4 linked regions of the Arabidopsis thaliana genome follow. The protein of the gene in region 1 purifies or fractionates together with the protein of each later gene. This does not show direct contact. Each region holds a gene or a part of one and is shown in the gene's direction. Other genes may lie near its edges. The genes, in order: RS40, RH8, STRS1 and AT4G31360.

What was found.
Region 2: the proteins of RS40 (region 1) and RH8 fractionate together in Arabidopsis thaliana (co-fractionation; one large-scale study listed by BioGRID). This does not show direct contact.
Region 3: the proteins of RS40 (region 1) and STRS1 fractionate together in Arabidopsis thaliana (co-fractionation; one large-scale study listed by BioGRID). This does not show direct contact.
Region 4: the proteins of RS40 (region 1) and AT4G31360 fractionate together in Arabidopsis thaliana (co-fractionation; one large-scale study listed by BioGRID). This does not show direct contact.

What each region holds. Positions count from the first base shown.
Region 1 is NC_003075.7:13,022,967-13,027,969, forward strand, and holds RS40 (arginine/serine-rich splicing factor 35), read left to right. Parts: upstream 1-1,531; 5' UTR 1,532-1,711; intron 1,712-1,798; exon of another isoform or gene 1,799-1,865; intron 1,866-1,988; exon of another isoform or gene 1,989-2,196; 5' UTR 2,197-2,201; coding exon 2,202-2,307; exon of another isoform or gene 2,308-2,883; coding exon of another isoform or gene 2,884-2,890; exon of another isoform or gene 2,891-3,046; coding exon of another isoform or gene 3,047-3,089; coding exon 3,090-3,202; intron 3,203-3,290; coding exon 3,291-3,532; intron 3,533-3,605; coding exon 3,606-4,163; intron 4,164-4,243; coding exon 4,244-4,277; 3' UTR 4,278-4,474; downstream 4,475-5,003. Other genes in the region: AT4G25510 (uncharacterized protein), read right to left, coding at 4,477-4,537, 4,682-5,003. UniProt on the Arabidopsis thaliana protein: Required for constitutive and alternative pre-mRNA splicing. Involved in primary miRNA processing and pri-miRNA biogenesis. Binds both intronless and intron-containing pri-miRNAs.
Region 2 is NC_003075.7:272,246-279,237, forward strand, and holds RH8 (RNAhelicase-like 8), read left to right. Parts: upstream 1-2,006; 5' UTR 2,007-2,392; coding exon 2,393-2,700; intron 2,701-2,863; coding exon 2,864-2,924; intron 2,925-3,160; coding exon 3,161-3,395; intron 3,396-3,710; coding exon 3,711-3,949; intron 3,950-4,084; coding exon 4,085-4,336; intron 4,337-4,409; coding exon 4,410-4,590; intron 4,591-4,787; coding exon 4,788-4,876; intron 4,877-4,963; coding exon 4,964-5,037; intron 5,038-5,114; coding exon 5,115-5,193; 3' UTR 5,194-5,199; exon of another isoform or gene 5,200-5,434; intron 5,435-5,593; 3' UTR 5,594-6,188; coding exon of another isoform or gene 6,189-6,386; 3' UTR 6,387-6,492; downstream 6,493-6,992. Other genes in the region: AT4G00670 (Remorin family protein), read right to left, coding at 6,189-6,386, 6,601-6,682, 6,750-6,813, 6,898-6,925. UniProt on the Arabidopsis thaliana protein: ATP-dependent RNA helicase involved in mRNA turnover, and more specifically in mRNA decapping.
Region 3 is NC_003070.9:11,478,198-11,483,398, forward strand, and holds STRS1 (DEA(D/H)-box RNA helicase family protein), read left to right. Parts: upstream 1-1,565; 5' UTR 1,566-1,723; coding exon 1,724-2,210; intron 2,211-2,291; coding exon 2,292-2,422; intron 2,423-2,520; coding exon 2,521-2,628; intron 2,629-2,717; coding exon 2,718-2,798; intron 2,799-2,952; coding exon 2,953-3,031; intron 3,032-3,135; coding exon 3,136-3,221; intron 3,222-3,300; coding exon 3,301-3,357; intron 3,358-3,439; coding exon 3,440-3,507; intron 3,508-3,590; coding exon 3,591-3,659; intron 3,660-3,752; coding exon 3,753-3,846; intron 3,847-3,941; coding exon 3,942-4,106; intron 4,107-4,210; coding exon 4,211-4,303; intron 4,304-4,414; coding exon 4,415-4,510; 3' UTR 4,511-4,693; downstream 4,694-5,201. Other genes in the region: AT1G31960 (uncharacterized protein), read right to left, coding at 936-1,457. UniProt on the Arabidopsis thaliana protein: ATP-dependent RNA helicase required for 60S ribosomal subunit synthesis. Involved in efficient pre-rRNA processing, predominantly at site A3, which is necessary for the normal formation of 25S and 5.8S rRNAs.
Region 4 is NC_003075.7:15,220,145-15,224,171, forward strand, and holds AT4G31360 (selenium binding protein), read left to right. Parts: upstream 1-1,698; 5' UTR 1,699-1,800; coding exon 1,801-2,123; intron 2,124-2,532; coding exon 2,533-2,629; intron 2,630-2,766; coding exon 2,767-2,826; intron 2,827-3,085; coding exon 3,086-3,166; 3' UTR 3,167-3,483; downstream 3,484-4,027. Other genes in the region: FLA5 (FASCICLIN-like arabinogalactan protein 5 precursor), read right to left, coding at 3,694-4,027.

The sequences.
Region 1 (5,003 bases):
GTGCCTGTGTGGTTGGCTGGCTGCTGTTGTTACAATCGTTTTTAAATTCCTATGAATAAACAAATTGTCATTAATTGTCACCCGTCTATAACATAATAGACATAAATATCTCTGTGAAATGATATTTTAAATACTCATGTAGTATTTGTATTGGAAGTAGATGTCCTAATATTTAACCAAAAATAATACTACAATATAGAAAAGCTTGATTTTTTAAAAAAATTAATCAGATTTGGTAATGGATAATTATCAATTTCGATGGACGGTTAAAAATGAGTCATAAATGCATATGATGAACAAAATTATTCAGTTTAAACAAACTATAACCAAAAACATGTAAATGGACCAGGACAGGACTAAGCGAAGGATTAGACCAATACAAAATAGCAAGTTATCTTGAATCCCAATAATTCCCACAAAATATCTCAATCTCAATAATAGCTATATTGTATTGACAAAAAAAAGGTATAAAAAATCTTCACAATAAGATATGCATGAAATATATTCGCTGACAAAAATATCTCTCTCGTTACCTCTCGCTCTCACGTTATTGACATTTAGGAGAAAAGAAGACACAACAAAGAGGGAAAAAAAGAGTGGTAAGGTGAAGAAAACAACAAAATTGGCTTTAGTGGAAAATAGAAAGTAAAGCTTGAGAGTGACGTATGGGGCCAGTGAAGGCTGGTGGGGAAGGTAGGGACAGTGTTTCCGCGGCCGAACCACGGGTTTAGAGGATTTTGACGTCCCCACGCATTATCTTGTGGAACCCATCTTTCTGTTTTTGGAAAATCGTACGGACGTTCGTTTTTGAATTATTTGCTGAATCGGGTTGTTTGGGTTTCTACTCTGTTTTGGGATTCTTCAGTGGATTGGACTGGATCTTTTGTAGCTTTTTGTTGGTAGATTTGAGACGCCTCTATTTTATGAATATCTTAATAGCTTTTTGTTGCATATTCAAGCGAGATAAGAAGATAATTGAGGCTTTATGGCATATTTGAAAAGTCGAAACTCGTTCTCATTCCACGTGTGATGATATGTTCGTGGCCACATATCATTCGGCCTTGAAAGCAACTACTAAACTCTTAACATAAGTGAAGCAATCCAATGAAGAGGAAAACAATTTATTTAATTAATTGTAATATATAAATATACACATTTCTTTATAACAACAATTATTAAACTTACTAACAAACTCATATGTTTCATCGAATCCAAAACTTGACATGTGGGATCTTGAGAGTGTTAAGTTGCAAGACTTTTTAAAAACTTGTATGCATTATTCATTGTGTAGATGTTATGTGATACATGTTCTAGTTCTATTAATCAGTATATTCTAATCAAAATTAAAAAATCTAATATTTGTTTGTCTTCATAATCTGTTATTGTTTTGTTTTTTTAGAAAGCAGCTTCAATTTTGTTTACTTGTTGGGCTTCTTATAATTTGTTTAACATATAGGCCCAATACTCCTAAAAAGTAGACGTTCTCGACTTCTCGTCCTTCAGACAAAATAAGAAAGTCAAAATGTGTTCTGAAAAAAATATCTTTGAAACTAAAAAGAAAAGAAAATAAAATAAAAATCCAAATGATCTCTCTTGCCTTCTTTATCTAAATCGTACCTAACTCTGTTTTCAGTTTCACCTATCTCTCGACGCGAGCTTCTTCTTCTTCTAGGGCTTCCACGCGACTACGCCTGCCAAAATCATTCTACAGGTAAATTGATGCAGTTTATTCACTCTCTATATCGTCGTGGTTCTCATCTCCTTCTTCCTTCTTTTTTTTTTGGTTGGTGAAAAGTAGAACAAGAGAATTGGTCCATCTCGTTTTTTATAAGTTGAATCTCATCAGAGCCTTCTTTGTTTTTCTGGTATGAAAGATTCATGCTTTCGTGGATTGTTCTCGTTTTCTCTATCTTGTGAATGATATTCAGATCTAACTGTAGTTAGATTAGATCTGTTGCATTGTACTTTTGATTCTAATACTGTCTAGTTCAGTTCCTAGATTTAACTGATTTGGAGCTCGAATAGATGAGTTTCAAGTCCTAATTTACTGCAAAACAATTCGATTTAGTGTGAGGGCTCTAGTTTTTAGTGTTAAAAGTTTTCATCTTGGTGACAAATTAGTTGTGATATTCGTGTTTAAATTATCATTTAAGGAAGTCTCATGAATCTTTTTTACTATTGTGGTTGTCTATACAGGAAGCATGAAGCCAGTCTTCTGTGGGAACTTTGAGTATGATGCGCGCGAAGGTGACCTGGAACGACTATTCAGGAAATACGGCAAGGTTGAGAGGGTTGATATGAAAGCTGGTGAGCCTTTTTTTTCTTTCTTTCTTTCTTCTGCCTCTTACTACTCTGTCTTTGTGGTTAACCTGAATGAATTATAATAAGCAGTATTGTTATCCACTAAGTACAATGAAAAAGCGAAATTCAAATGCATTTCATGAAATCCACTCTCGTCTTCATTCCATCCACGAGAAGGCTCTGGTGGACTATCTCCCTTTGGAAGGAGTACTAAACATTGACCACATTCACCTGGCCACCTGATGCAGCCTGCTTGAACTTTGGAAAGTACTTCAGAGGAATAAGATTTTTAGAAAAAAAATTAGTGTAAAACCGCATTTTCTTTGACGCAGGATGTGTTTGATAATCTTGGGACGCCTATACTCACACCTGGCCATGAATGGACCATAGGGAAATCCATCTCTTATCCCTCAAAATCAGTCACTTTCCATCCGCATTAGCACTGCCATCTTAATTGCATTTCATTCCTCATCACTTTGCACACTTGGACATGCCTCTGCAATGGAGAAGGCTCTCTATTTTCATTCATATCCCCGTCTGACTTCCACATTTTCAGTTGTTCCTTGACATATTAATTCCATAATGCAAGGTCTGTAACTGCTTCACTGGTCATTTGGAGTTTTTTTAAGGTTCTAGGAATGTTCAAAATTTAATATGTTCTAGGAGTTAAGTTAGGCGTTGAAGGAGGGAGGACAGTGTTCGTGTATGTTGAAGGTTCTTAATCTGGTCCACTTCCTCACTGTTAATGTACTCAGATCTTTGCTTTTGGCTTTTTCTTTTTTCTCCAGGGTTTGCTTTTGTATACATGGAAGATGAAAGGGATGCGGAAGATGCCATCCGAGCACTTGACCGCTTTGAATTTGGGCGTAAGGGACGCAGACTTCGTGTTGAATGGACAAAGGTAGGATACTTACCCCAGGATTTATTTCTTTCCAGACTTAGTTATGAGGTTTGAAATACTGATAACATAAATGGTTCTGTGTATATAGAGTGAACGTGGAGGTGATAAAAGATCTGGTGGTGGTTCAAGGAGATCCTCATCCAGCATGAGACCTTCCAAGACTCTCTTTGTGATTAACTTTGATGCGGATAATACTAGGACCCGGGATCTAGAGAAACACTTTGAGCCGTATGGAAAGATCGTAAACGTTAGGATCAGGAGGAATTTTGCATTTATCCAGTACGAGGCACAAGAGGATGCCACCAGAGCATTGGATGCTTCAAATAACAGGTTTGTTCTGTCCATTTTAGTATCTAATCACTTTCCTTTCTTAGACTCACGTTTCATCTGTGTTTTCATTCAGTAAGCTGATGGATAAGGTGATCTCGGTGGAGTATGCTGTGAAGGATGATGATGCTAGAGGAAATGGACACAGTCCTGAAAGACGCCGTGATAGGTCACCTGAAAGGAGAAGGCGATCACCTAGTCCTTACAAAAGAGAAAGAGGAAGCCCTGATTATGGCCGAGGAGCTAGTCCTGTTGCTGCCTACAGAAAGGAAAGGACCAGTCCTGACTATGGTCGAAGACGTAGCCCAAGTCCTTACAAGAAATCAAGACGTGGCAGTCCCGAGTATGGTCGTGACCGCAGAGGCAATGATAGCCCTCGCAGGAGGGAGAGAGTCGCAAGCCCTACTAAGTACAGCCGCAGTCCCAACAACAAGAGAGAGAGGATGAGCCCTAATCACAGCCCGTTCAAGAAGGAGAGTCCGAGAAATGGGGTTGGTGAAGTTGAAAGTCCCATTGAAAGGAGAGAGAGATCGAGGTCTAGCCCCGAGAATGGCCAAGTTGAAAGCCCTGGGTCAATAGGAAGAAGAGACAGTGATGGTGGGTATGATGGTGCAGAGAGCCCAATGCAGAAGAGGTTAGATTCTGAAATAGGTCGATACTTGTTTATATATTATTGATGACATGAATCGTAAACCATTTCTCTTGTTGTTGCAGCCGGTCTCCTCGTTCGCCACCAGCTGACGAGTGATAAGAGTGGATCCACAATCTCTATCAAAGTAGGATGTTGTAACTGTTTGTAGTCAACAACGCTATGTCGTCGTGATTAGTTTTTGTCGTTTGGTTTTTGATAGATTCGAACTCGGATCACTTTTATTGTCGGATTGAAAAACTTATGTCAAGTTACTACATTTCCGTTTTTTTTTATCACCTCTCAGTTTGAACCCCAATCATGTAATGCTTTCCCGTGACAATAAGATGCGAACCTCAAAACATCTTGCATCGAAACACCTTGAGAGTGACAAAATCGAACGCATCGTTAAGTAACTTAAATGGTACGCCGAAATTATGGAAGGCAAGAACGGTTCTATTGACTTAATTGGGTCTAAAAACTACTCTAAACGCCTCTTGTCAACGTTCGAACTAGTCCCTAACCTTTGACTCAAATATAAATATTGGCTACAAATAGACTTATAGTTCTGCCTACATTGGTCGTCTGCTTTAGTATATTTGTTACCAAGTAAAATGCTGCTGTAGAGTTTAATGATCTCTTTGTCTACTGGGTTTCTCCAATTTTCTGATCGTTGGGATTCGTGCAAGTCGAGAGAGTCTACTTGGTTGAAACTTTCTGGGTTTTGATTTGAGTTGCCCATTGGATTTGAAGTTTTAGTCTTTTGTTGGTAAGTTTTACCCTTTGAGATATGCTCGTCTGATAGTATAGGGCTTTCGAGTGTTATGAAAAATTCGCCTTTTCGTC
Region 2 (6,992 bases), about 13 Mb from region 1:
CCGGAATTGGAAACAAGAGGGCTAATTTTGGTCCTTTTGGAAAGATTTGAAACGACATCGTTATTAAGCCCTAATTCTACTATAACGATGTCGTTTACGAGAAACATACATATACATACTTGAGAATAAAGCCCATTACCAAGAGACCAATTTTGGTCTTTTTCGTATAGTATTAACTCTACGGCGATTGATCTAAGCCCAATAATTGTGGAACTTGCTCGACTTAGGTCTCAATCTCTATTTTCTACCAATGCCAAAAAACAATTTCCTTACAAATTTTTTATTTTTCCCATCAAAACAATTCCCACCAATTTACATTTAAAAATCATTGTAATCTATCACATTTCCTTACTTTTAAAACCATTTACAAATCTATTTATCGCCAAAACAAAAACGGGAAAAATGTTTTTGGAAAAAAAAAATTGACAGAAAAATTATTTTCGGAATATTTTTGGCGAAAAAAATCGATATTCTATTTTGTTAACCTAAAATATTTTCAAAATATGAGTAAAATAGTCATTAAAAATTAAATTAACGTATAAATGAAAATGACTAACAGGAAAGGTTATAATTAAAAAATGATAATTTTGGAAGAACATTTTTTACAATTTCTCTTTAATCATTAACCCTCGTTGTATGGAACTCCGGTGGCGTTGAGCCACGAATCTCTATTTATGAACTCTCTAACCGTAAACATGACTGCTTCCATCGGGTCTGTGATGATCTTGTTCCCATTCGGATGGACTCTCTGGCTTGCGTTTGCTCTGGGGCCTTTGTTTTGATATTCGCGGTAGAACAATGTGGACAAATCCCCACTAGTGCTGCTATTTCATGGAGTCCATCCCACTGGATCTATCAAAACATCCATTTAAGATTCCATAATCACCACCGTTGATAAATCACCCCACGGTCTTACTAGAAACATCTTCACCATTCTGTGAATGTCGACGTGTCGGTCGAGAGACTGTAAAAAGCCTACGTATTCATAGAATTTTTATTTTTATTTGTGATGTTTATGATAGTTTTTTGTTCACTTTATTTTTTTTGTTCAATCTATTTTAATTTTCTTAACACTGATATAAAAAATTTCATAGTTTATGTTGTGTATTTATTTTTTAATTTTTTATAATATTTAATTTAATTTTGTCAATTATTGTTTTATTTAATGTGTGAATTAATTTTAGCTGTAATGTTTTGATTTCAATAAATAAAATTTAGGCAGGCCACAATATGATGACTTGGATGTTGATGTAGACATCGTAGATCGAAAGTGAACTTTTCTATTATATAGACGTATTTTACTTATTTTTTGCTTAATTTATGCTTACTTTTGGTCAAATTATTTTCTCTTTATTATTCAAATTATTTCAATAATCATAACATATTGGTAGATATGTAGTCGCTATAAAAAATTTGGATGTAAATGTTAACTGATGAAATAAACTAGGCCTAATTTGTGTGAAAGTAGAAACCTATTAATTGTGAAAGTTTGAAATTCCATAATCTCGGTCGCATATTGAATACTCAACATATAATTTTGGTAGTGTTTGAAGAATCATATTTGAGACATAATCAGGTATAATGAATAAAAGCAGATGACACAGCAAACGAGGAAGATGTCATCACTTGTCACAAATCCAGTGCATAGATGGATCAAGTGCAATTCTGATGAAGTATAAAAACATTAGAGAAATACTCTGAAATTGGATGGATACTCTATGACGACCAGGTGGTGTTTGTAACATCTTGCATAGCGTTAATCTTGAGCTAAAAACAGCTTTAGAAGCTGAAAGATAGATTTTTGGGGTCAGACTGAAAACTTTAATTAAGTTAGGGTAAATATGTAAGGAAAAGGAAGTAATGTGTAATTTTATAAATTTCAGAAAGAAAGAAATGAAAACTTAAAACTCCGTTTTAATTACCACAAGGCTCAAGCCCAAGCCCAATACCGCTAACGAAATCCGACGAAATCACAAACATTATAATATTACATAGAGATAATCATCTTTCTGTCTCTCTGTCTCTCTGTCTCACGCGAGAACTCTGGCTTCGTCTCTATATTATTGACCCTTTTGATCTCTCTCTGTCTCGCTTTCTTCCTCGCGTGGACCTTTTTCGAAAAATATCAATCCCAGAATTTCGCTTCATTTTGGATTATAAACTCCCAGATCTGCTACTCTCTATCTCCGATTTTGTGATTTTTCAAACCCTAGATTTCTCCGGAAGAGTTTATTTTTTTCTCTGTAACTAAACCGAGATTTTTTTTTCAAAATTCCGACATTACCCTAGGTTGTGTATTACCGTAGAAAACCCTAGTTCCTTTTTGGTATTCTTGGTGTACAGATCCCTTCCTTAGTCAGAGTTTTTGGTTATTAGTGTTTAGAGGTTTGTGATGAACAATCGAGGAAGGTACCCTCCTGGAATTGGCGCTGGCCGTGGAGCCTTTAACCCTAACCCTAATTACCAATCACGGTCGGGTTATCAACAACATCCGCCGCCCCAATACGTTCAACGCGGTAATTACGCTCAGAATCACCAACAACAGTTTCAACAAGCGCCGTCTCAGCCGCATCAATACCAACAGCAACAGCAGCAACAACAACAATGGCTTCGAAGAGGTCAGATCCCCGGCGGTAACAGTAACGGTGACGCTGTTGTAGAAGTTGAGAAAACTGTTCAATCCGAAGTTATCGACCCAAAGTGAGTGCTGTTCAAGCTTGGACTACTTAGTTAAATCTGGGATGTGATTATTTTCATTTGAAGTGATAATTCCTTGTTTCTTACGTTACCATGGTATTGAACTGCTTAGTGTTGGTTTCACTTTTGTGCGTTTGATAACCTTTACAATCTAATTTCTCTTCAGCTCGGAAGATTGGAAAGCAAGGCTAAAACTACCTGCACCTGATACTCGATACAGAACAGAGGTAATGTTCCATATTTTGACGAAATAGAGTAAATTAGGATGCATTCACTCTTTATTTTTGCTGTTTCGTGTGCTATATTGGTGTGACTTAAAGGTGTTCTTAAGCGTAATACCTAAATACTTGTTAAATTTGTTTCTCAATACTTAAACTGCGTGAGAATCTATTTGTGAAACTGAATTGATTCTTGGTTGCATGGGATGAGATGTTCACAATTCGTTACTTGTTATCATATTTAGGATGTGACAGCCACCAAAGGGAACGAGTTTGAAGATTACTTTTTGAAACGGGAGCTTCTCATGGGAATATATGAGAAGGGTTTTGAAAGACCTTCTCCTATTCAGGAAGAGAGTATTCCAATTGCCTTAACTGGTAGAGATATCCTTGCCAGAGCAAAGAACGGGACTGGAAAGACCGCCGCCTTTTGTATTCCTGTCTTGGAAAAAATTGACCAAGATAACAACGTTATTCAAGGTAACTGTGTACTGGACCATGTTGTTAGTTGATTCTTTCACGTGGTGCAATGCTATTAAAGAATCTGAAGTTTTGACATCGTCTAGCTAGTGATTTTTCATAGCTAATAAGAACAGAATACCAAAGCTGGCGTCGTAAATAGATTATTGATCCACAATAAACACTAGTTACTGTATAAAACTTAGTGAATGTAAATCGTAATGAATCCTTTGAGCCTCTAAACCCATTGCTTCTATCAGTAGCCTAATATGTTTCTTAAAGGTTTACTGCTTCCTTTCTAACTTAGTTTACCGTCAATACCTTTCTTGTACGCAGCTGTTATAATTGTTCCGACTCGAGAGTTAGCCCTTCAGACATCACAGGTCTGTAAAGAGCTGGGTAAGCATTTGAAGATTCAAGTCATGGTGACCACTGGTGGCACCAGTCTGAAAGACGATATCATGCGTTTGTATCAGCCTGTTCATTTACTGGTAGGAACTCCTGGGAGAATTCTGGATCTTACCAAGAAAGGTGTTTGTGTTTTAAAAGATTGTTCGGTGCTTGTTATGGATGAGGTAAATGTTGGATGCTTACTTTGTATTTTTTTTTCTTTGAAATTTCTTTCTATCTATCTTTTTTCACTATTTGCAACCTGTAGCAAAATTGTTCATGTTACTCCCAATTTAATTTAATTATGGATCATTCATCAGGCTGACAAGCTTTTGTCTCAAGAGTTCCAACCTTCAGTGGAACATTTGATTAGCTTTCTTCCAGAAAGTCGTCAGATTTTGATGTTCTCAGCCACCTTCCCTGTCACTGTCAAGGATTTTAAGGATAGGTTTCTGACGAATCCTTACGTCATCAATCTCATGGATGAACTTACGCTCAAGGGTATTACCCAATTCTATGCTTTCGTTGAAGAAAGACAGAAAATTCATTGCTTGAATACACTATTCTCCAAGGTTAGATCTGAACTACATTGATTGTTTTTGTTTCTTTCCTTAGCTGGCATTTTACTCTCTTCTTCTCCTGCAGCTGCAAATTAACCAATCAATCATATTCTGCAATTCTGTAAATCGTGTGGAGCTCTTAGCCAAGAAAATCACAGAACTTGGGTATTCATGCTTTTACATCCATGCAAAGATGCTTCAAGACCACCGAAACAGAGTGTTCCATGACTTCCGGAATGGTGCATGCCGTAATCTCGTGTGTACTGGTATGCCTTAGTGTTATCATGCTGCTATTGCAGGAGCACAATGAATCAAATACTAAATTATCTACCTCTTAGACCCCAATAGTGGCTTTAGTTGAGGCTTTAGAGGGACAACTTATACTGGTTTTAATATTTTGACTTTGCGAAATCAGCTATGTCCTCTACCTGAATAGTTTATGATTTAATGATGGTTGCTGCAGACTTGTTCACACGTGGTATTGACATTCAAGCCGTCAATGTGGTGATAAACTTTGATTTCCCAAAGAATGCTGAAACTTATCTCCATAGGGTAAGCTAAAAACCAAATGTCCACATGATACTAGATTCCTACATGTTGATTGATGGTAATTGATTTTAATATCTGGTCTCTGTTCAGGTTGGACGATCAGGAAGGTTTGGCCATCTTGGTCTAGCTGTGAATCTTATCACCTATGAAGATCGATTTAACCTGTATGTATTTTTCTCTTGACTGGTTTGTACTATTGTTTTCTACAGCATAGAATAACCTTTGTGTTACATTTTTGTAGTTACCGGATTGAGCAAGAGCTTGGAACGGAGATCAAGCAAATTCCTCCACATATCGATCAGGCAATTTATTGCCAATAACCAAGGGTAAACCACCTTGGTCTGCTGTTAGGTGAATCAGTAATAAGTGGTACGTAGTATCTACTTATGGACAGGCTTGAATTGTTCCTACTTTCGGAGTCACTTACTTCATGTAACCTCAAGATTCTCTAGGATAATTTGTTTTAATGTATACACAATACAGAGTCTTGTTGGAAAGATCAAAGATGGAATTTCAACTATCGTAATCATAACACCACATTACATAATTCAAGGCATACATTAAGTTACATATTTCGAGGACATAAGTTCATATGGTTGATGCATATAGGCCTATTCATTGTTCTTTTGCCACTTACGCTAGAAAAATTCTTTTGATTTGGGTTTGCTTCCTCATTTAAGAGGCCCCTAATATATTATTTGGATTTGTGCAATGTTTCAGGTTGGTTGAAGCCATGGTTAGACAGTTGTCTTATCTAGCCATGCAGGACAAGGACAACCCAAAAAGGCTTCACATTCTGCCTCTTACCTCCATAATGTTTTTTTCTGCGTCTTTGGGATTCCTTTATTTTTAAAGATTAACTATAGTCAAGGCTAAAAGGTTTGAAATACCGGGTAGTATTACAAAAGTGAAGTCTTTTATTTAGTTTTAACAAGTCGTTTGAGCTATTGTTTCTTTCTATGCCGTAGACTGATCAGTGGTTACAGTGTTGTGATGCGTCTTCAAGGAGCTGTGGTTTCATGACTCTTTCATGATCCTTTTCCAGCTTTCCAACTTCAATAATAAGTCTTTGAGACCTTAAGATGAGATTTTCCTTTTTTTCCATTTACACAGGTTGCTGATTTTATTTTAGCATGTTTTGTGTTGTCAATAGGTAGATTAGTTCAGGATTTGGTCTGTGGACAATGGACAATGAATTTTGCACTCTCTTGTTTTATGAGCAACACAAGCAAAACACACAACATACAAAAGATACAAGTATGAACATAGGATACCGGAGATAGGTGATAATCTGTATCACAGGTTAGTGCTGATCTCAGAAGCAGCTCAAAGATGACTTCTTGGGTATCTTTCCTGCGGCTTGAAACCTAGCAGCAGCTTCTTCCGCATCAAGGATCTCTTGAGCCCGTCTGGTTTGAACATCTGCCTTCTTCTTTTGTGCCTTTGCATGAACTGCCGCTTTTTCGTTCCTTAGTTTCTCAGATTTCTCCATCTTCTTACTGTCCATCTTCCGCTGTAGAAAACAACAATTTTTTCGTCTGTATGTTAGTTCTTTGACGACATGAAATGTCATGTTTCATAGTCTTGTACCATTTGGTTAACTTGCTGTTTAGATAGATTCATGTTTTTGATCATACACTACAGGCTACAGCAGTAGAACAGTCTTAAGCATACATGAGTACATAGATCATATATTAGGAATTGGTAGATGTCTTTTGTGGAATCACCTGAATTCTAGCGAGTTCAGATTCGATCTTTGTAGTTTTCTTTTTCTCCCATCCTGAAATATCTAGTAGCTTCTTCTGAGTCCTGCAATCAGAGAATCTGTCACAGTGGTACTGAAACGACGCTGAAAAGTGTTTGTGTTGTGACTTACTTGTTATTGACCTTTGTTATCTTTAGTTCCTTCCATGCCTTAATAACTTTTGACTGCTCATCTCCTATGTGGTATGTAGTAGGTATAAACTAAAAATTAAGATACAACATGAAACTAAACAATACTAAAACTCTGTGATATGAGTTACCTCTTTGGATCGGAATATTTGGCTCCATTTGATTGAGAATGAGTTTCAGGCTTTAAGTTCTAGTTGCTAGTTAAATGCACATTTAGGTCTATTTA
Region 3 (5,201 bases), on another chromosome or scaffold:
CGTGGAACACACACCAATCTAGGTCTATTCGGGGATGCTTTGAAATTAAAAAACAAAACAAAAGTAGTCCTTTGTTCTCTGTTTGTTCACTGTTACTCTAAGGCATGACTACTGTCACTCTGGTATCTGTCTAAACTCTTAAGAACTTTGAACACAACCAAACTAATTTAACTAAACATCGAGAAGTAAAAAGAGATGGTACCTTGAGTTTTCTATCTGTAATTTCATGGAGCCTCCAAAGTGCTTGTCCATGACCATGATCTCAGATTACTCTGCATTGTTAAGTTTCAGAACATCAATAGCTCTTTTTATAGTAGCATTATAAGCACTCAATAGGCTAACAAATTAACTCCTTCTCATCACGAATTAAAAAGAGAATATGATTAAAATGTTCTCTTTTCTCAGCAGTAAATTGTATAATTCTCCGGCGGAAACAAAACACAAAGCTCGAAACTTTACCATTATATTGGTTTCCCTCCGTAGTCTACGGCAAAGGAGAAAAAAAGCAGGAGCAATCCGACCAGATGGAAACGATCATTTCAGAATCTTATCATGTCCTAACGACGGCGTCTCCGGCGAGGCACATCGGTGAGATAAGTGAGAAAAATGGGTCTGTTTGGATATGGATGTAAGGCTAATAAGCCCATTGGGTTTTAGATCAATCTTTTGTTTATTACAATTTGCACCCTTCTATTTTCTATATTTGATGAAAAATATTAAGGTTTTTATGTATCAGCGACAAAATCAAAATACACATAAGCACAACTACATTTACCTCCATGTTTGATGACACATAAACAACTCAAAATTCCATATGAAAATTCATCAATTTCGCAATTAAAGCTCTATTATGTTATTTGTGAAGAACCAAACATGAGAACTGATCATCAAAACTAACCTCAATTTGACTTTTAACCGTCGAATGATTTTAATCATCAATTTGAATCTCCGTTTGTGCTCCTTGCAAGTCTTATAATGCCAGTAACATTGGTAACACCATCGTCACCCATCTCGTTGTTGTAGAAATCATTCACAACAGAAATGGTCACAACGTTGGATGTTTCTACAGAGTGAAATCGCACAACACCATTAGAACCCTTAACACCAGCGTCGTCAAACAATTTTCTCCTTATACTTGTCGGATTGTTGAGGTAACTCCGGTTGGTGTGTTTTGTTACCATAGCAGACATTTTGAAGCCATTAGTATAAAAGACTTGTGCATCGCCTACTATCCCTTTGTCTTTATCCACCCGACCGGAGCAGTCCTTTTTAATCAGTGTGTTCTGGTTGTCATCAACAATGGGGTCAAGGGACAGAAATAAATTCAGATTCATCGTTGTATACTTCACATCCAAAAATTGCCTTACACTCATATTGCTGGTAACAATCACATGCGATTTTGCTGTAACGCCCCGACCGCCCCTACCAGTGGGTCTCACGTCCTCTTTCGCGTCCATGGGTCATCCCCTATCCGACGGTTGGTATGCAACGTTCGGGAGGCTTTAAAGACTTGTTATCGATCTACAAATCAAATTAAATTTGGGTTTTACTTTAACAAAAGAGATGTCTAGACTCTCTATGTAATAACCAAAACTATGTAGGCAAAATTGCAATTGTAGAAAATATTTTTGCAATGCTTTAAAACCCTAAAAACCTAAATTGAACAACGGACTCTCGTTCGGCCGTTTCATCAACAACTCTCTCCTGTAAACGAAACAAAGAAATGGCTGGACAAAAGCAAGAGCTTCCCGTCTCCGGCGAACCTTTAGCCGTCGAGAGTCCGATGACCAACAAGAAGAAGAAGAAAAGCAAGAAGAACAAACATACAGAGGAAAATCATGAAGTCGAAGAAGTGCCTCAAGAGGTCACTAATGGTGTAGAGGAAGAGTTGAGTAATAAAGAGAAGAAGAAGAAACGTAAGAGAGAGGAGAAAGAGTCTGAGAAGAATAAGAAGAAGGATGTCCCGGAGAAGAAGCTTGAAGCTGAGGATTTAGGAGAAGGAGAGAGTGAACAACAGAAGGTTGTTGTGACTGGGAAAGGTGTGGAAGAAGCAAAGTACGCAGCTTTGAAGACTTTTGCTGAATCGAATTTGCCGGAGAATGTTTTAGATTGTTGTAAGACTTTCGAGAAGCCGTCTCCGATTCAGTCACATACGTGGCCGTTTTTGTTAGATGGGCGTGATCTTATCGGGATTGCGAAAACTGGGTCAGGTTAGTAATGTTTATGGAAGTGTGAAAGTTTTGAACTTTGGTTGAAAAGATTGAAACTTTTTGTGTTTTGTGTGTATTTAGGTAAGACATTGGCTTTTGGGATTCCTGCGATTATGCATGTGTTGAAGAAAAATAAGAAGATTGGTGGAGGATCAAAGAAGGTTAATCCTACTTGTTTAGTTCTTTCTCCTACACGAGAATTGGCTGTTCAGGTATATATATTGTTTCTTGTTCATTATGATTACAATGTGAAAATGAAAACGTATGGTCAAGTTTCTTAGTGTTGTGTTTGTTTTTGGTGGTTTGGTAGATTTCTGATGTTTTGCGTGAAGCTGGAGAACCGTGTGGTTTGAAATCGATTTGTGTGTATGGTGGAAGCTCTAAAGGGCCTCAAATAAGTGCAATTCGATCTGGAGTTGTAAGATTTCTTATTATGTTCTTTGATTAGGACATTCTCTTATGTTTCTGGATCAGTTGAGTAATGTTTTTTCTTGATTTATTTGTTAGGATATTGTCATTGGTACGCCTGGTCGTTTGAGAGACTTGATTGAGTCTAATGTGCTTCGTCTCTCGGATGTTTCCTTTGTCGTAAGCAGCAGAACATCTTTTGATTATGTTATTTGATGACTTAGCCTCGTAGGATCATCATCATAGTCGTTGCATCGTTTCTTGCTCCTATAATGAAACAACGGGAATCATATTTTCGAGTTATTAGATGGTAACAGAAGTTCCTACATGTCAGGTATTGGATGAAGCAGATCGAATGCTTGATATGGGTTTCGAGGAACCTGTCCGGTTTATATTGAGTAACACAAATAAAGGCAGGTGGTTTTTACATTTCACTTAGCATTCTTGTGAGAAGCCAAATTTGATATATGTGCTAAATTGTAATGAAAACTCTTCTTCTTTCTTATCTGTCTTATAGTTCGTCAAATGGTTATGTTCAGTGCAACTTGGCCTTTGGATGTTCACAAATTGGCCCAGGAATTCATGGATCCAAATCCAATCAAGGTCTGTTTTCCTCCTCAGTTTGTCTTTCCTCACCTGCAAGTTGCTTAAAATTTCCGATGATCATTCAAATTTCTTTCAGGTGATCATAGGTTCTGTAGACTTAGCTGCCAACCACGACGTTATGCAAATCATTGAGGTATGTTCTATCGGATCATCCTCATAGCAAGTAGTGTTGTCCTTTATATGATACTCTTAACAAGGTTTGGTTACAAATGCAGGTCTTGGATGAACGTGCGCGTGATCAGCGTCTCATTGCATTACTAGAAAAATACCATAAATCTCAAAAGTAAATTTGCTACTTAATCATTGAACTCTTACCAGATCTTTCCTTTTTCAACATACTAATACCAAGCGTTTTGGTATTTTCAGGAACAGGGTTTTGGTATTTGCTTTATACAAGGTGGAAGCTGAACGTCTCGAGCGTTTTCTTCAGCAAAGGTTTGATCTTTTAGCCCAAATCACATCAACTAAAGAGAAAAAGATCTTTGATATTATTGCTCATGAAATTCGATATTTACTCAACTATTTTAGAGGTTGGAAAGCTGTATCTATACACGGAAACAAAGCACAGAGCGAACGTACCAGGTCTTTATCATTGTTCAAAGAAGGATCCTGCCCGTTACTGGTATGCGTACTCTTATCATTCCGCAATTCCATGGCTAATAAAAATACATTGACTGGTTCTGAAACAGAGCATTGACACTGTTTTATAAATTACAGGTGGCTACTGATGTTGCAGCAAGAGGGCTTGATATCCCGGACGTGGAAGTTGTGATAAACTACACTTTCCCTTTAACAACAGAGGATTATGTACACAGAATCGGGAGGACAGGAAGAGCGGGTAAAAAGGGCGTTGCACACACCTTCTTCACGCCACTGAACAAGGTAATACTGAAAACACTCTTTTTAAAAATTTCTTTGAGCTACATCCTTTCCACAGAGTTGTTGAGAATGGAAATGATTCAAATTTGATCGTATCTTCCTTACAGGGTCTTGCAGGAGAACTTGTGAATGTTCTTAGGGAAGCAGGACAAGTAGTGCCAGCTGATCTTTTGAAGTTTGGCACTCATGTAAAGAAAAAGGTTTGATTTTCTTCCCTCACATTTTTGATTCTCCACACAAATTGCTTCTTCTTCTTCATCATCTGGATTCTGGAGTGATTGATGAGTGTTTTGTTTGATTAAAAATTGCAGGAATCAAAATTGTATGGAGCTCATTTCAAAGAAATAGCTGCTGATGCTCCTAAAGCTACGAAGATCACATTCGATAATTCTGATGACGAAGACTAGCTTAGTTTATTATTTTAATGGTATCATTATTTTATTATATTTACTTGGACAATGAAACCTGCATTTGATTTTCGTTTGTGGTCTGGGGCTTGGCCCGAATAACAAAAACAAATATATTTCAGAATTTTCATTATATTTGTATGCAATTTTGTGTTACTAGTTATTAAACTTTTATTTGTCCACAAAAAAGGTTATATTATTTTCCTTTGATGAAAAAAAGGTTTTATCTTTTTTCTTGAAACATTAATTGATCAGACACTTCAATATATTAATGACACTAATTGAGGAAGTATTTTTGCTATTTTGATGCTTCTTGGCTGCATAAAGCCAACGTGAGTGGTATGGCTCCTCCTTAGATGGATATTTTACATTTTACATTTTACATGATTTTTTCTTAGTTGATGTTATACGATCTATTTGGGTCGACTTATATAAAAATACATATATTTTATTGTTGCAATTATTAATTTTTCTCATAGCTAAATGTTCTTAGATCATGGCTCTAAAGTGTTATAGGGTTGCGAATGTGGTTGACAGTTTGTATTTATGAGTGTTTGTTCTAAGCTATGTTCTTTGCATCGTAAAGTCGTGGACATCCCGGATTAGTCCCGAGTCTTGTTGGACACACAAGCTATCTTGTTTGGCAGTCTAGCCGCTCTCCTGCCCATCGTTGTGATTTGGACAACGTTTG
Region 4 (4,027 bases), 2.2 Mb from region 1:
CATGTTCGGTGTCTTGTTTCAATCTTTAGACAAAAGAATACCCACGGCTTAAAACATTATGTCTTTAGACAGAGACTCGAGGTTCGAAAGTAACCAATCTTTTGTCAAAAAGATTGGATTTGGTTATGTTTGGTGCAAGGAAAATGGTACCCACGGCTTTAAACTTTAGTCTTTCGAGTGAACTGAAACTTGAGATTCCAACATTGATTCTTTTGGTACCCACGGCTTGAATATCTTTAGACATATGGATCATGTTCGGTCTCTTGTGTCAGTCTTTAGACAAAGATCAAGTTACCCACGGCTTAAAATAGTCAGAGACTTGAGGTTCGAAGTAACCAATCCTTTAGACAAAAGATTGGATTGGATTGGCTTATGTTTTGGTTGATGAAAAATGGTACCCACGACTTCAAACTTTAGATTGAGACTTGAGATTAGAACATTGATCCTTCTTTGGTACCCACAGTTCAAAAATCTCTAGACATATGGATCATGTTCGGTTTCTTGTTTCAGTGTTTAGACAGAGTTGGATAATAATGGACGATGTTGGGTTATGTTTGGATAATAAATTTACAAGACCAGATTTTAAACAATGGAAATTTGGATAATAAATTTACAAGACGATGTTGAATAACCGGTTTTGGATCCCGTCATTGATAGTTAGCGATTCCACAAATTCAACTTGTTTTTACATCGTTATGTAGATTTAGAATACAAGTTTGTGTTGAAAAAAAATATATACAAGTTTCTTATTTTTTTAGAAAAGATTCCCAAATTTTTCCATACGTTTAGCATGCTACCAACCTTGTAAGAGGGTTCGTCGTTGTGTGAGATTAGTGTAATTTGTTATGGGATCAGGATCAACCAATCAAGATTTCACCAACTTGCTAATATGTGAAAGACAGACAAATAGAGTAACAGTGAAGACTGAAGATGATGGTTGTGATGTGATGAACAAGTTCTAAAATATTTAGGTCCAAAAGATCTTCCCATGGAGCTTGGTTGTGAAAGTGCTAACTGAGATTTCTCCAACATGCACACATTGTTGCAAAAGCTTCCCCCTGCATTTTATTATACAAACAAACAAACAAAAATGTCACCATAATGGATGAATGTTTGTTCACCATGAGTATGCGACTTATTAACATATTACATTTTAGCATTACTACATCCAAATACTTCAACTATCATCATATATTGGAAATTTGGATTGATGGCTTGAGTCATAAAAACCTACAAAAGGATTGGACGATACTTTTAGTAAAATCTCTTAAAATTGTCCGCAGTGACCAAAATGCTAAAAAGCTAGAAGGATATACAGACTTTTATCTTACTTTATGTATCAGAAAATCAATATTTCTTAATAAATATGATAAAGTGTTTCAGTTTATTTTGAGTTTAGAAAAAGCCAAATGAATTGGAATCAAAATAATGTAGGTAAAAAAGAGAAGTGGAATTAAAATAAAATCATTCTATCCAATCAAAACGGTAAGTAGTTGTGCGTTTTAGAGGCAAAACACCACAGCGTTTCGAAGCACGTGGATGTGTCGTGTGATACAGCAGTAGCGCACTATTGGGCATTGAGAATACATAATCATAACCCCTGCAATCTAACGGTCAACCTTTTAATAACCCTTGTAGGTTAAATCTCTACCGTTTATTCGAATTACTTTTCCAAGGTAAGAAAAAAGCAAACACAAAAGGGAATATCAAACAACAAAAAAGTAAGAAAGAGCGGTAAGACAGAGACGGAGAAGAAGGAGAAGAAGATTGTTAAGACGAAACCCTGTTGCTGTCCGTACAATGCCGCCGAAGAAGAGTAAGGCAGATGGAGAAGAAAAGGCGAAACCTTTAACGACGTTGGCGTCGTCTAGAGTGACTCGGAGCATGGACAGTCGAACTCGAAGTCAGACTCAACAAAACGGTGCTAAAGCGGCTGGATCCGCCACTAAGCCGGCGACGAAGAAGGCTAAGAGGAAGAATTCAGCGATTGAGACTGGGAGAGCCAAGAAGGGAAAGAAGGAAGAGGAAGTTGAAGAGCCAGAGGAAGCCGTTGAGGAGGAGGTTGAGAAGGAAGAGCCAGAGGTTGAGGACCCTACGAGAACCAAGATTGTTATAGAACACTGGTAATTTTTGCGTAAATGTTTTCGATTTCTTTAGAGATAATGTTTGGAATCATAAGAGCAAAAATTTAGGTTTTTTTCTTTGAAATTGAATCTAAAAGCCTACAACTTTGGGGTATGTGTTGAGACTTGTGTGTCCGTGTGTAGCAGCTAAGGTTTATTTGCTAGGGTGGAACAATGTGTTAGGTTTTCATCTTGATTCTGCATAAGTTTTTGGTTTGAGTGATTAGTGGTTTATGTTTTGCTCGCATTTGTGAAGAGGACTTGACTATCTGCTTTCTGTTTGTGTTCTTGTCTTGCTTTAGCTGAATTGCAATGCGTAATGGACGTGTTCATTCTATAAATGGAATTTGCTTCTATACTTATGTCTCACAAGAGTTCTTTTTTGTTTTGTTTTGTGATGTTATTGAAGTAAACAATGCAATGCTTTCAAGACAAGAGCTATTCAGGTGAAGGAAGCTTTGGAGGGAGCTGTTCCTGGCGTCACGGTGTCTCTTAATCCTGAAAAGGTAATGCTTTTACTGCAGATGAATATATCGTCATGAATGCTCCGTTTTGACTAATGCGTTAGAGCATACTTTTCACATTATACTTGATAAGATTTTCTTCTAAATTACTAATTCTTTCTTTTGATGTGCTTGAACAGCCAAGGCGGGGTTGCTTTGAGATCCGGGAGGAAGGTGGCCAAACATTCATCAGTCTTTTGGTAAAAACTTTCATTCTAATAAAAACAAATCTCAATTTGTCTCGCTTCTGCATATGATTTGTTCAGTTTGAGTAAGGTTTATTGTTATTACTAATTCTCATAACACCACTTGCTCTATATGCATATGAGAATGAAAATCAACTTGATCCTTATTCATTACGAGAAATGTGTTATTGTGAGTAGAAATCATGAATATGTTTTTGCCTTTCAATCTTAACATAGACCTAAAGATGTAGATTATGTTTATCTCATTTTGTAGGAGATGAAACGTCCATTTGCACCAATGAAGGCACTTGATATGGAAGAAGTCATCGAGGACATCATAAAGAAAGTCAAATGAATCTGTTCTTTGTTTCTGCCTCGGTCTCAGTTTAATCAATTAGGTTTCTGCAGAAGACTTTCTAGAGTAATGTCAGATTTGTTAGGTTCACTTTTATTGTTTCGGTATGAGCACTGTAAGTGCAGTCTCGTCGTTTGGCAATGCATGATTAGTTGATAGAGAAGGATCTCTGTAGTTTTTGGGGTTAACTCGTATTTGTAAGGCTAGTTTATTATTCATCTCGTTGCTTGAAGCAAACCGATGCATAAGTGTTTTTTGTTGTTGGGACCATGCATGGTTCTAACAATCTATGCACTGGTTAAAGCATGTTCTAACACAATTAGAACTGTGTTACAAAATCAATAGGACAAACATCACATTTGCATTCAAAATGGCTGATAAATACAATGCATGATGAGTAGAAAGCTCATTACATTTAGGTTTCTTTCACTTCCAATGGCCGTGTCTCTCTTCTTGGCTAAAAGCTACAGAAAAATTGTTTTGAATCTCACCTACCATTATTGTCTTTAACCCACATCACCCGAATCTTAGAACCCAGCAAAGCTAGCCAAAAATGCTAACAAGAGAATAACATCAAAGCTCCAACCAGCCTTAGAAGCAGAAGAAGATGGTTTAGCCTTATCAGCAGCTTCAATCTTCTCATTATCGGCGCTTGGAGCAGGAGCTGGAGAATCAGCCTCTGGTGTGTCTGTTGCAGGTGCAGGTGGAGTTTTTGGGACAGCAGAATCTGGGGAATTGTCATCAGCAGCTGGTCCTGGAGCTGGAACCACTGAAGCATCCATGGGAGTTGGATATGGAGCTACATGAACGTATGGTGGTGGAGGTGGGAAAATTGCAAGGCTGAGTCCAGGAGCCACTATT